2 linked regions of the Elephas maximus indicus genome follow. The protein of the gene in region 2 interacts with the protein of the main gene of each other region in a biochemical or structural test. Links are inferred from orthologs where the notes say so. Each region holds a gene or a part of one and is shown on either strand. Other genes may lie near its edges.

The links.
Region 1: the proteins of CFH (region 2) and C-reactive protein-like form a complex in vitro, tested with the Homo sapiens proteins (12 studies listed by BioGRID and IntAct, with this or other methods). The link is inferred for Elephas maximus indicus from reciprocal best matches to the Homo sapiens genes CFH and CRP.

What each region holds. Positions count from the first base shown.
Region 1 is NC_064821.1:198,293,284-198,300,511, forward strand, and holds C-reactive protein-like, read right to left. Parts: upstream 2,158-7,228; 5' UTR 1,318-2,157; coding exon 706-1,317; 3' UTR 544-705; downstream 1-543. UniProt on the Homo sapiens protein: Displays several functions associated with host defense: it promotes agglutination, bacterial capsular swelling, phagocytosis and complement fixation through its calcium-dependent binding to phosphorylcholine.
Region 2 is NC_064842.1:63,160,644-63,167,791, forward strand, and holds the start of CFH (complement factor H), read left to right. Parts: upstream 1-3,910; 5' UTR 3,911-4,159; coding exon 4,160-4,217; intron 4,218-7,148. UniProt on the Homo sapiens protein: Glycoprotein that plays an essential role in maintaining a well-balanced immune response by modulating complement activation.

The sequences.
Region 1 (7,228 bases), on a different chromosome or scaffold from region 2:
TAGAATTCTGAGCTCTCTGGACAAAGAAAAGGAGTCCTGGTGGCACAGTGGTTAAGCATCCAGCTGCTAACGAAAGTTTGGCAGTTCAAACCCACCAGCAGCTGTATGCAAGAGAAAGATATGACGATCCGCTTCCGTAAAGATTACAGCTTTGCAAATCCTAAGGGGCACTTCTACTTTGTCCTATAGGATCGCTATGAGTTGGAATCGACTCAACCGCAATGGGTTTTTGTTTTTTTTCTTTTTCCTTTCTTTTTATTTTTTTGAGAAAGAAACTTCACAATGTAGCTCGCCAGCCCCCGAGCTTACTTCCATTCTCTGTTGCCAAGGAAGGCAAGGCAGGGAAGCAAAGGGCTATATGCACAGAGCAGGCCTGCACTGTGCATTAAAAAAAAAAAAAAAAACTGCCGCTGAGCAGATCCTGACTCATGAAGACCCCTTGAGTTACAGAGTACAACTGCTCTATAGGGTTTTCTTGGCTGTAATCTTTATGAAAGCAGATCATCAGGCCTTTCTTCCATGGCACTGCTAGCTGGGTTTGAACTGTCAACCTTTAGGCTAGTAGTCAACTGCAAACTGCTTGCACCACTCAGGGACCTACAGTGTATATAGTGGGGGGAGGGGAGACAGCTCCAGAGCCAGAGACATGGAGCCTGTCAGGCATAAGTGCCAGGAAGAGGCACCTTCAGGACCCACAGCAGGGTCTCAGGACCACAGCTCGGGCTTGATGAACACTTCCCCATGGATCTCAGAGTTCAGCTCCCGCCAGTTTAGGACATTAGGAATGACGGTCCCACCTAAATAAACAGTGTTAATCTCTTCTGGTGACAACACGCAGTCCCACATGTTCACACTGCCAAGGTCTCCCACCAAAGACTGGTTTATATCAAAGTCGCCACCAAAGGAATCCTGATCCTGCCCCACGATGATAATCACCTCTGATCCCACAGTGTATCCCTTCCTCAGGCTCTTTCTCACCATGGGCTTCCCATCTAGCCAGAACTCAACAATCCCTGAGGCTGACTCCCAGCTTGTACAGATGTGTGCTGGAGCAGCAGTGGTTTCTGGGACACGGAATAATACCTCAGTCCCACCCACTCCAACAATATATCCTCTACTCTTAGACCCAAATATGAGGATCTCATTAGCCTGTTTCTGAATGGCATAAGAGAAAATGCCATAGCCACAGGTCAGATTCAGTTCGGAGTAGACGTGGAAGCACAGGGTAAACGCTTTTAGTGGCTTCTTCAGCTGTGCTTTCAGAGACACGTAGGAATCGGCTGACTCTTTGGGGAACACAAAGGCCTTCTTATGCATGTCTGTGAGACAGAAAAAACATGCATATAATGTTTGGGACTGAGAAATAGACTCGCCCCTTCTTCAGGTACACACACATGCACACGCACACACATACACACACACGCACCCATGCTAAATATTCCTTTGACTTCTTTTTGTACAATTCTGGGTCCCATCACCGCCCCCATATCAAATCTCAGGCATAGTCTTGGATATTCCCTGTCTGGCCAGAAACATTAAAGAGGCTGATCAATACCAGGAAACACTACCACAGCTCCTCCATGATCATTCCCTGCTGCTGATGTCATAGGATCTGGGCTCACCTCCTTCAGAAGGTGTCTTTGGGTGAAAGCTCAAAGACTAGATCCACTTCTTCAAGACCTGCCCCATCCTGCCTGGATTTATACCCATGCCTGCAGGGGAAGTCTGTGCCACTATGCAAATTATTTTCCATCACTGCCTCTTGACGTCAGGTGTCAGGGTTCTGAGAAGAAAGGATTCATAATCATTACAGAACAGAGAAATCAATATGTGTGTAACTGATTACAAACCCAGTGACTCCTGAGTCGCCAGTTCTTAGTGGGAGGAAAAATGAGGGAGCTCCCCAAGGACTCCAATTTGGCTATCTATCCTGAGAAAATAATGGAAAATCTTAACTTCATAGAGAAGTGGCCATCTGTGTGCACACGATAGTGGTTATCTCCAGTGCCTACTTCAGCCCAAGTCATAGAGTGTGATGGAGAAATGCTGACAGCTGCTAGAGACAGATGTCATCACTAAGCCCTTTCAGAAGCTGCTTGTTTACAGATTGGGAAATGAGGAAAACAATGATACCATTCACTGAGCCAAGGATAAATTTTTCTTAGCCAACTGAGTTTACTTATTAAGAACTTTCTGGTGTAGTGAAATATGCACCTGGTCACAAATGTACCACGCATCAGAGGTTCTTCAAACAGACTATTTTCTGAATATACAAAGCTTCAAGGAGGTATGAATAACTGGACTATCAGTGCTGGGAGCGGACTGGTCTCTCTCTAAATATATGACCGTAAAACTCGAGTAGTCCTCTATATTACCTGGCAATCTTACTACAGTTCCCTCCTGAATTGATTCTCCAGAATGACTATTTTGCTCCTTCTCTTCTCTCCTTAAGCCCCTAAAACCACATCCATCTTTGTTCTCAGCTGATGAAATCACCTCTTCATTGAGAAATTAGAAGCAACCAGAAAACGACCATTGCATCCCTTGTGGAAGAGGTTTCTGGCAGTTCCCCAATATCTATTCTCCACTTCTCATACAGTGAGAACAGAATTTTTAGCTGGACACATGGCCACCCAGCCAAACACTACATTTCCCAGACTCCCCTGCAAAAAGGGGTGACCATGTGATTAAGTTCTGGCCAATGAGACATGATCAGGAATAATAGCAATAATTTCCAGGTTGTGCCCTTTAAAAAGAAGACATGCGATTTCCCTTTCACATCTCTCCTTTCTTTTGGCTAGTATTCAAAAATAATAGCAGGAGCTGGAACAGCCACATTTAAACCACGAGATGCAAGCTACAAGTTGATATTGGCAGAGCAAGAAGAGGGATGGCGCTTGAATGACTGAATATGGAGCTTTTTTTTTTTTTTTTTTGTATCAGCCTACCTAAACTGCCTACCTGAACATTTTCTTAAAGGAGGAATTTTCTCTCTTGTTAGATCACTGTTAATTTAGTCTTTCTGTTATAGCAGCCTAACCAATATCCTTATACATCCTCCCACCACCAAATCATCACCAGCCTTTCTTCATCTTTACTCACATATTCTGCATCCCCCCTCTTACAAGGGATGAACTATCCCTACACATATCTAAGGCCAATGCTTGCACTTCTGCAGTGGATCCCAGTCCCTCTCAACTGGTCAAGGGATTTTGATACTCTCTCACTTCTGCATCATTAATGTCTTCATTTCTACTGGATCATCCCCAAAAACAATAACTATGCTTTAATATATTTAATATTTCATAGGAAGGAAAGAAAGAAGCCCAAGATTCCACATTCCCTCTAGCTACTCTCTGCTTTTTCTGCTCTTCTTTACTTCAAAACTCCTGGGAAGGGTTGTATACCCCCTCCATTTCCTCATCTCCTGTTCTCTCCTATCTATGCAAACCATGCTTTCACCTCCACCATTCCAGAAAACCAACATAAACAAAACCTCTCTCCTGTAAATTTAATAACCAATTTTCAGTCCTCATCTTACTCAACTTCTCAGCAACATTTGACACTTCATAACTTCCTCTTGAATACTTTCACATAGTTTAAAGAGTAAAATAATTATAAAGTCTCAAGCCTAAAAGAAGTGGCTCTCTGTCCCACCTTTCTCCACCCCTGATTCCCTAGGCAAGCTGAGAGAGACACAACCTCAATGACATTGCTTGAAACTCTGAATCCAGTCTCACCTGACCCCACATCAGGCCTTCTGAAGTCTATGAGCCAATAAATCCCCTGCTTACACATTTTTACACATTTCAGTTGTTTTTATGACATTTATATTTGAATGAGTTTTGACTAATAAAAATACCTTCATTTGTAAAGTCCTAATTTTTTTTTTTTAAATCCATAGCATTGTGTCCCTAGATTAGTCATTTCTTGCCCCTGAAATAATACATCCGTTGGCATCCTCACCACAGGAGTCCCCTCCTTTCCCCTCACCAGATAAGCATGAGATTAAGCTTAGCCACAAAAACGGAAGTGAAATATTCAAGATGATAATATGAGCAATGACCACTACCACGTTTCAATTTCTGCAGTTTCATACAAAAACTCAAAAAAAGCTTCCTTGAACCTCTATATCCATGATAGTCTATTTTATGAATCAATATCTTTCCAGTCCTCAAAATGTATTGGTTTGCAAGACAAAATTCTGAGACATCCTTACTCTAAAGATTGTATCAATTTGGTTTTTTGTTTGTTTTCCTGCTCTCTATCTTAATTGATTTATTAGTGTAACTTCTACTGGGCATTTCCTCTTTCCTAATCACTATTAGAATTGCTGTTCTGCTTTACCAGCACAATAGTTACAGTTGTACTTACGAAGCATTATTTTATGTCTCTGTTGCCACTATTCACACAAACTACTTAATAAAATCATCTCTAGAAAACGTGGGCCCAAGGTCTTTCACATTAAGCAGGTAAGAAGCTTTGAGGACTTTTTGAACAAGGAAATAATAGATCTCTGTCTTAGAATTTTTTTAGAATTGGTTGCAGTGGGAAGGATGTATTAGAGTTTCGGAAATTATAAATAGGGAGACAACTTAATGTGTCATAATTCATTAATTCAACCTGGGCACATTTTATGAGCATTTACTAGTGACAAGCACTAAGCTAGCTAAGTAGAAAAGTTATGCTAAAGACTAGTCAAAACTAAGTCTTTAACATAAGACTTTAATGTAAGAAGTTACATCAAAACTGTAGAGTGGAAAGAACGAGAATGCAGAGAAGCAGATTGAGAATCATGTCAGTAATAAAATGGATAGAACACCGATCAAACATGGAGCTACAGAGAGTAGTGGCCAAAGATATCTAGCTAGCTTTCTTAATTCAAACATTGTGTGAATGAGGCCAAGAGGGTTCGATCATTACTACATGGGCCAGTTAGTTTGACTTACTTGGTAGCCAACCACCACAGCCCTAAACAATCATCCTAAGAAAGATGAGTCCGAGGTCAAGAAAAATTGCTTGTGTAGATGGATGCAAATTCAGCAGCACCATCTCTGTTATGAAAAAAAAAAAGATAAATCCAGATCTTATTTGTCATGGATTGAATTATGTTCCCCCAAAAATGTGTGTATCAATTTGGCTGGACCATGATTCCCGGTATCGTGTGATATTCCTGCCTCTATGATGTTAATGGGGGAGGATGGGTGGCAGTTGTGTTAGTGAGGCAGGACTCAACCTACAAGATTGGATTGTGTCTTGAGGCAATCTCTTGAGATATAAAAGAAAGAAGCGAGCAGAGAAAAGGGGGATCTCATACCACCAAGAAAGCAGCACCAGGAGCAGAGAGCTTTCTTCGGACACGGGGTCCCTGTGCCTGAGAAGCTCCTCGACCAGGGGAAGATTGAGGACAAGAACCTTCCTCCAGAGCCAATAGAGAGAGAAAGCCTTCCCCTGGAGCCAAGGCCCTGAATTTGGACGTGTAAACTACTAGAATGTGAGAAAATAAACTTCTCTCTGTTAAAGCCATCCACTTGTGGCATTTCTGTTACAGCAGCTCTAGATGACTAAGACACTGTCATTTATGGGCAGTAGCATTACCTTCTTGAAAGGCAGCCTGTACAGAGCCTGGCACAGAGTTGGTATTCAGTAAGTACTGTGGGGTGAATAGATGAAGGGATGACAGAAGGAATGATGGAGAAAGTACAGAGGCTAAATATAATCAATGGTGAACTGAGCACAAGCACCAGTATCTTCTACCTATCTCAGTTCCTAAAAATGACAGAGAACATATTTTTAAAGAGTAAGTCGATACAGTGCCAGAAAAAAAAAAAGGGGGAAGAATTTCATGAGGAGAAAGAAGCTTGAGGGAATCTCTGAAAGACAGAACGCAGATAAATCAGATGGATAGAGGAAAACATATGCCAGAAAGGCTGCTATAAAAATTTGAAGTGTTTTGAGGGTGCTCCAAAATAATAGGCAGTGGAATCAAGCAGTAGAAAACAAAGCAGGGGACAGATTGGTTGAGGAGTAGCGGCCACCATCCCTTGCCCTCCTGGCCAAGTGTCAAGCTGCAAAGACCTTTGTCTTCAGGCTGGAGGACAGAGTGCTTTGGCCCCAGAGGCAGGGCACAGTCCCAGAAGGCTGGTGACACCCTGGAGGAAACCTTAAACTCTGACATCCAGAAGACAAATTACTGGTAGACTCCATAAGACATGCTGCCTATTCCTCATAATTCCTGGAAATGGACTACAGAAAATAGCAACAGCTTCTATAGACTGTCTGAAAGAATCAATGCCATGAAAAGAGGGCACCACACTCAACAAGCAGAGGAACACCTACCATGTTGCTGTTAGTTGCTGCCAACTTGGCTTCAACTCATGGCAACAAGAGAACAGGACGTTGCTCTGTCCTGCACCATCTTGCCAATCATGGGCATGCTTGAGTCCTTTGTCGCAGCCACTATATATTTTGAGTACCTTCCAATCTAGGAAATTCATCTTCTGGCATTATATCAGACAATAGTCTGTTGTAATCCATAGGATTTTCATCAGCTACTTTTCAGAAGTAGATTTCCAGGCCTATCTTCCTAGTCTTTCTTAGTCTGAAAGCTCCACTGAAACCTGTCCACCATGGGTGATCCTGATGGTATTTTAAATACAGGGTAGTATAGCTTCCAGCTTCATAGAAACATACAAGCCACCAGAGTATGACAAACTGACAGATGGATGGTGGACACCTATCTTAGGAAATAGAACTTCAGGCAAAAAGAGAAGTTTTTACTGAGAAATATAATTAACATACTCAAAACATAAAGCATAGACAAAAGACAAAAAGCTTGGGGATCAAAACTTTGAGACTCAAAACAGAAATTTCAGGGGAAGAAAACTTTGAAACTGGAGATAAGAAAATAATCAAAGGAATAATAGAATACTTCCCAGAGTGGAGGACAAAAGTGATCAGATTGAAATGGGCACAGAGTAACTAACACACAGGGTATGTAAAAAAGATCCATGCCCAAACAATGAGAAGGAGCTTGACCACTATGACAAGGAGAAGAATCTGAAAAGTATCCAGGTAGTGTGTAAATGTATCCTACAAAGGAAATAAGAATAATTGGATGTTAGAAAACTGTCAAGAAAAAATAATCCCTGTCTTATATAAACTTTTTCAAAGAATTGAAAAAAGAGAGAAAGCTAACTTATTTTCAGAGCCCAGTAACATGTTAACA
Region 2 (7,148 bases):
AATGTCCCAAGTCCTTGGATCAGGAGAGAGTCCTTTCCCAATTCACAGAGCTGCAGAAGCTGGTGAACCCAAGATGAACAGGTTGGAGAGCAGGGATCCCGCTCACAGGTTGTGACGGTCGATGAAACCACAAGGCCGGCAGGCAAGACTGTAAAGTTTCTCCTGAGTCACTTAGCTGCAGGGGCTGGTGAACCCAAGATAGGCAGGTCAGGGAACAGGACTCATGCTCGCAGGCTGGGAAGACTGGTGAATCCCAAGATGAACAGGTAAGCTCCTAGCTGAAGTCCCAAGAGCCGCAACAGCCAGAGCGCAGACAAGAGACAGCTGCTGGATCCAGAACAAGCCAACAAGTTTTGCAAGGCAAGCAGGAAGGAAGTAGGTGCCAGAAGGCAGTGACATGAAGGCTGAGGGGGCGGTGAGCTGCCACAGGCCCACCCCTGCCAGTACCACTCAGCAGATTCCATCATGGGGGTGATCACATATCAAATTTCAACAGGAAAGTGATCACAACGTTGTACAACTGCCAAAATAATGAGAATCATGGCCCAGCCAAGTTGATACACAATCTTAATCATTACAAGTATTCTTTAAAGAGATAGAAAAACTATTCATTAACTTCATATGGAAAGGAAAGAAGCCTGGGATAAGTAAAGCACTACGGAAGAAGAAAAACAAAATAGGAGGCATAGCACTACCTGACCTCAGAACCTAGTATACAGCTATGGTAGTCGAAATAGCCTGGTACTAGTACAACAGCAGGCACATTGACCCATGGAACAGATTGAGAACCCAGATGTAAATCCATCTACCTACAGCCACCTGATCTTTGACAAAGGCCCAAAGTCCATTAAATCGGGAAAAGATAGTCTTCTTAACAAACAGTGCTGGCAAAATTGGGCATCCATCTAAAAAAAAATGAAACGGGATGCATACCTCACACCATAAAAATTCAAAATGGATCAAAGGCCTAAATATAAAACCAAAACTTTATAAATATCATGGAAGAAAAAATGCTGTCAACGCTTAACCAAAAAACCAAACCCGTTGCCATCAAGTGAATTCCGATTCATAGCGAATGTATAGGACAGAGTAGAACTGTCCCATAGGGTTTCCAAGAAGCTGCGGGTAGATTCAAACTGGCAATCTTTTGGTTAGCACCAGATCTCTTATCCACTGTGCCACCAGGTTTTCCAGTCAACACTAGAGGCCCTAATATACAGCATAAACAGGATACAAACCATAATTAACAATACACAAATACCAGAAGATATGCTAGATAAATCGGATCTTCTAACAATCAAACACTTATGCTCATCAAAAGATTTCACCAAAAGAATTAAAAGAGAACCTACAAACTGAGAAAAAAATTTTGATTATGACATATCTGACAAAGGTCTAATCTCTAAAATTGATAGGAAAATACAACACCTCTACAATAAAAAGACAAACCAATTTAAAAAATGGGTAAAAGATATGAATAGACACTTCACCAAAGAAGACATTTGGGCAGCTAACAGACACACATAAGGAAATACTCGAGATCCCTCACTAGCCATTAAAGAAATGCAAATCAAAACCACAATGAGATACCATCTCACCCTGACATTACTGGCACTAATCAAAAGAGAAAATAACAAATATCGGAGAGGTTGCGGGGAGATTAAAACTCTTACTCATTGCTAATGCCCATGCAAAATGATACAACCATTTTGGAAAATGATGTGGCGCTTCCTTAAAAAGCTGAAAATAGAAATACCATCTTATCCACTCCTAGGAATCTATCCTAGAGAAATAAGAGCCATCACACAAATAGACATATGCACACCTATGTTCACTGCAGCATTATTCACAATAGCAGAAAGATGGAAACAGCCTAATGCCCATCAACAACGAATGGATAAACAAACTGTGGTACACAGACACAATGCAATACTATGCAATGATAAAAACAATGATGCATCTGGGAAACATCTCACAACATAGATAAATCTGGAAGGCATTATGCTGAGTGAAATAATCACGAAAGGACAAATATTGTATGAGACAACTATTATAAAATCATATGAAAATGTTTCCACACAGAAAGAAACAATCTTTGATGGTTACAAGGGTGGAGGGGGGGAGGAAAAACACTAACTAGATAGTAGATAAGTTGTAACTTTGGTGAAGGGTAAGACAGTTGACAATACTGGGGAAGTCAGCACAACTTGACCAGGGCAAAGTCATAGAAGCTTCACAGATACATCCAAACACCATGAGGGACAGAGCTACTGAGCTGAGAGCTGGGGACCATGGCCTCGGGAGACATCTAGCTTAATTGGCATAACATAGTCTGTAAAGAAACTGTTCTACGTTCTATTTTGGTGATTAATGCCTGAGGTCTTATAAGCCTTTGAGCAGCCATCTAACATACATCTACTGATCCCATTCTGGCTGGAGCAAAGAGGAATGAAGAAAACCAAAGGTACAAGGGAAAGATTTGCCCAAGGACTAATGGACCACAACTACCACCCCCTCCACAAAACTGAGCCCAGAACAACTAGATGGTGCCTGGTTACCACCGACTGCTCAGGCAGGGATCACAAAAGAGGGATCCAGACAAAAAGGGAGAAAAATATAGAACAAAATTCAAATTCACACACACACAAGGAAAAAAAACAAAAACAAAAACCAGACTTGCTGGTCTGACAGAGACTGGAGAAACCTGAGAGTATGGTCCCTGGACACTCTTTTAATTCAGTACTAAATTCACTCCTGAGGTTTACCTTTCAGCCAAAGATTAGACACGACTATGGGGCCAACAATAGCACACATGAGGAATGTGCTTCATAGTTTAATCATGTATAGGAGACTAATGGGCATATCAGCCTAGAAGCAAAGATGAAAACAGAAGCAAAGATGAAACAGAGAAACCAAGGAGGACAAGGGGAGTGGTGACACATTGTGTGGTTGGCAACCAATGTCACAAAGCAATTTGTATATTAACTGTTTAATGAGAAACTAATTTGCTCTGTAGAGTTTCATCTAAAGTACATTTTAAAAAAGTATACAAAAACTGGCAAATCTATTTCATGCTTTTAGAGATCAGGGTAGTGATCTTCCTTGTGTGCTGGGACTGGGGAGTGGGGTTGTTGAAGGGACTACCATGGGTTTTCTGGGAAGTCTAATGTTCAGTTTCTTGACCTGGGCACTGGTTGCCCTTGGTTGCTATTCACCTTCTCCATATTCAGCAAATCGTATGCTTACATTGTGTTCATCTCTCTTTATGTATATTTCAATAAATAGTTTTTAAAATGAGCATCATTATTTCTTGATTTTTCGTTACTAAATTCATTTATGCTAAATGAGAGTGAGCCAGTTGCTTCACCCACTTAGTGTGGTCGAGTTGATTTTGACTCATAGTGGCCTTCTAGGACAGAGTAGAACTGCCCTGTAGGGTTTCCAAAGCTGTAAATCTTTACAGAGGCCACTGCCGCATCTTTCTCCTCTGGTGGCTGGTGGGTCCAAACTGCCGACCTCTTGGTTAGCAGCTGAGCACTTTAGCCACTGTGATACCAGGGCTCCTTGACTGCCTCACACACATGTATAAAGAGCCTTTAGAAGACTAGCTTTTCATGAATTATGGAAAAAGCAGGCCCCAAAAGATCAGCCAGCACTGCATTCTTGGCAAAGCTTATTCAAGTTGCCTGGGTCTTGATTGCAAAAGTATTACCTAACATGAAGTTCTGTAAATGATTTTCAAAAGAGTTTTTGTTCTGAGCTTTACACACAACGAAGTTTGAATATTTGCAGAATTTATGAAATGCACAAGACATCACCAGCTACTTCTTTGTGCATTCCAAGAACCTGAGCATGTTCCAACGGAGAACACAACTAGGTTTATAATAAACCAAAGAACAGGTCACAGTGTTCATGGTGGGAGTGCAGTGAGAATTGGCTCATACTCTGGCGCTCCTGGGGCCTGTGGTTGATTATTTTGTCTCACTTTGCAGAAGTTTCTGATGGGCGGAGCATCTAGTAATCCCTTTAATTTCTAAACTGTGTTTCAATTTCCTTTGGAGCCAGTACTTGCCTGCACTGATCACAATTTTTAGCAGAGGAGAATCTGATACAGTGTGAGCAGTGTCAGGTATCAAATGTTCCACTAAAAAGTCCCAGAATGAGATTTCCGGTAAAGATTGTTTGGCTTACGTTATGGACTGTTTGTATAGCAGAAGGTAAGTTTAAAAGAGACTTCTATAACTAACAAATGATTTGCTAATGGATTTTCATGGTGATAATTAAAAAAAAAATTATTATTTTGTAGCTTAATGTGAGTGGCTTTTGAAATTAAGTTTAATATAATTAGCTTATTTTAATAGCATAACTGTTTACTTAATCATAATTTTATTTAATGTAAAATTTAAGAAAATGTTTTAATGAACCTTTTTTATTTTATATCATTTTATTTATTTTGTTGTTGAGAATATACACAGCAACTCAACAGTCTCTACATGTACCATTTAGTGACATTGATTACATTTTTCGAGTTGTGCAACCATTAGGGAACATTTTTGAAAACTCTAATCTGTCATAATCATTTTTCTTGCCAACTGTTGTAAGATATAATTTAGTTTTTTGCTTAGAATTTTTACCAAAATACTTTATGTAGAAATATTAAAAGTTGAGATAGATTATAGATAGATAAACAGGGAGGCAGATAGGTAGGTAGATAGAACCAGAATATAAACTATTCAATAAAAGCCTTCAAATCCTGTATGACTGGATTCTTTCCTCAGACGTAGATGTTAACTCTGCCTAAAGATGAATTCATTTATCATTTACAATTGATATTGCTGCAGCCTGAAAAATCTTATAAACGATCATTGTTTGCGTCTTTAGACTGAAAATATTAATGGAAATCTGAAAAACAACTGAATACACAATCTGAATTGTTCAGAAGTTTTTTTTTTGTGGTTGTGTATGACATATTTATATGACATATTCTAGGAAAGTATCTTCTGGACTAATGAATATGAGTGCAGGAGTTTTTCTGATAGTAGTTAGACAATTTCTGGATTCACAGTGAAATTTAATTTGTTACTGTTTCATGACAGATTAAAAATATCCCTTTTACAGGACATTTGCCCTCACAGTTAGTAATAGGTAAACTCACTACAGGCAACATTGTTCAAATTGCAGGACAGAGTTTAAAATAACAGTTTCTCAGTTTTACCACATCGTTTCTGCTTTGTGGAATATTTCATGAACCAAAATTTTCAAGTTGATCTTTCAGATTTAGGGTTTAAAAATTGTATACTATTTAAAATTAGACCACACCCCAGAAATTTCGGGATGATTAAAGTGAACAAATTACAACTATGCTGAAATATGTCCAAGTACACACTGACTGTTGTTTTGGGGAACAATATGTTTGCTAATCCTGGAGGTTTAAAGGGCAGAAATGTTCTGTCAGACCCTTAAATACATGACGGAGTAAAGATAGAAAGACTCCATTCAAATCAGAGAATTCTTTTTTTTATATTATATTTTTTCAGGTAAACTGTGGCTTCAAATTGGCATTAAATCTGATATGAAAAAAGAATTGACATGAATATTATAAGAATTAATTATAAATTAATAAAAAATACTCTTTATAAGGCTATAAGTGAATATTATTTATTAATGTCTACGGTGGTGCGCAATTTTAATACGGAGCCCTGGTGGTGCGCAATGGTTAAGAGCTAGGCTGTTAGCCAAAAGGTTAGCAGTTCAAATCCACCAGCCGCTCCTTGTAAACCCTATGGAGCAGTTCTGATCTGTCCTATAGTGTCGCTACAAGTCGGAATTGACTCGATGGCAATAGGTATTGTCTAATACTGAAAAATTGTGGTAGTGATTTATAATCCCAAATTCTATTTGAATTCCAATGCAATGAATCCACCCCCCCAAAAAATATTTTCAAAGTTAGTGTAGTTAGCATAGGTGCCTACCCGCCCAGTGTGATTTAAAATTGTGCATTGGCTCAGTTTTTACCAGTATCTTCTCTCCCCCCTTTAAAATACGTTATATTTTATTACCATACATTCAACCAATCTGAAATTTACATGGAATAGCAAATACTCTGAGAAAGTACAATAGGATAATTAAGTCTGATATTATTCCCCATAATCTACCTCAAATTACTGTAATCTGGTAACATTCCTGCAACAATTTTAGTGGAGGGAAGAATAAAAATGGATGAGGAAGAAGGTAAAAAGAATAGGAGGAAGTGACTCTGGAAGATGAGGTATTTCCAGGTAAAAGAGATCTGAATGAACTGCACAGTAAGCCCATGAGAAGGGGTCAAGAAAATGCCCACAAAAATGGCAAAACAGGGAAAAGTGGGCTAAGGCAATCCTTGCCTATTTGAAGTTTAGGCATACCCTGGTAATGCCTGTGTTACTCTTTTGCTTATATAGAATTTTCAACTAAAACTAACTTAGGTATTGAAAAGTAAAATTTTTTTTGGCTAGAAATAAGTTCCCAAATAAAGTTCAAGGGCAGATCACTAAAGATTCTTGTTTTTTGGCCTTTTGTTGCTAGGTCATGCACCAAAGTCTAAGTTGACCCATTACTATTTGCTCAGTTCTGGACTGTTCTGTAGACTTTGCCACTTCTCTTTCTTCCAGCAATGCTTCCTCCTCCCTCCCCCACACTATTTCCAGCGTGCCTGGGCCTTTGAGATTCTGCCAACCAATATTCTGTTTTTAGTTACAAATATGCACTTTACCTATTTCTTAACAACTTTAATAAGTCTCAGAACATAAGGCATGTAAAGGGCATATTGTAATTGAGAAAAAGTGTCACATTTTAGCTTAAAATTATAAAGAGAAATTAGTAAAAAAATAAAAAGTCTCAGGGAAAGTAAGGTAACTGAGCAGGGAAAAAAAAACACAAAAATCATAGAATGATTTGACATAGCACTTCTATTCGTTTTGACATTTTAACTGAGAGAGCCAAGTTTCTCATAAACCTTGCTAACCAAACATGTAATAGATAGAAAAGTGATTATAGAGATGTTCCTTCCGACAATTCCGGAAGTTTTTTGAGCTAAATGAAAGTGATTCTTGACTTCAAAAACTATACAATAAATTCAAACTTGGGACCCATAGACCAGATGTACAATG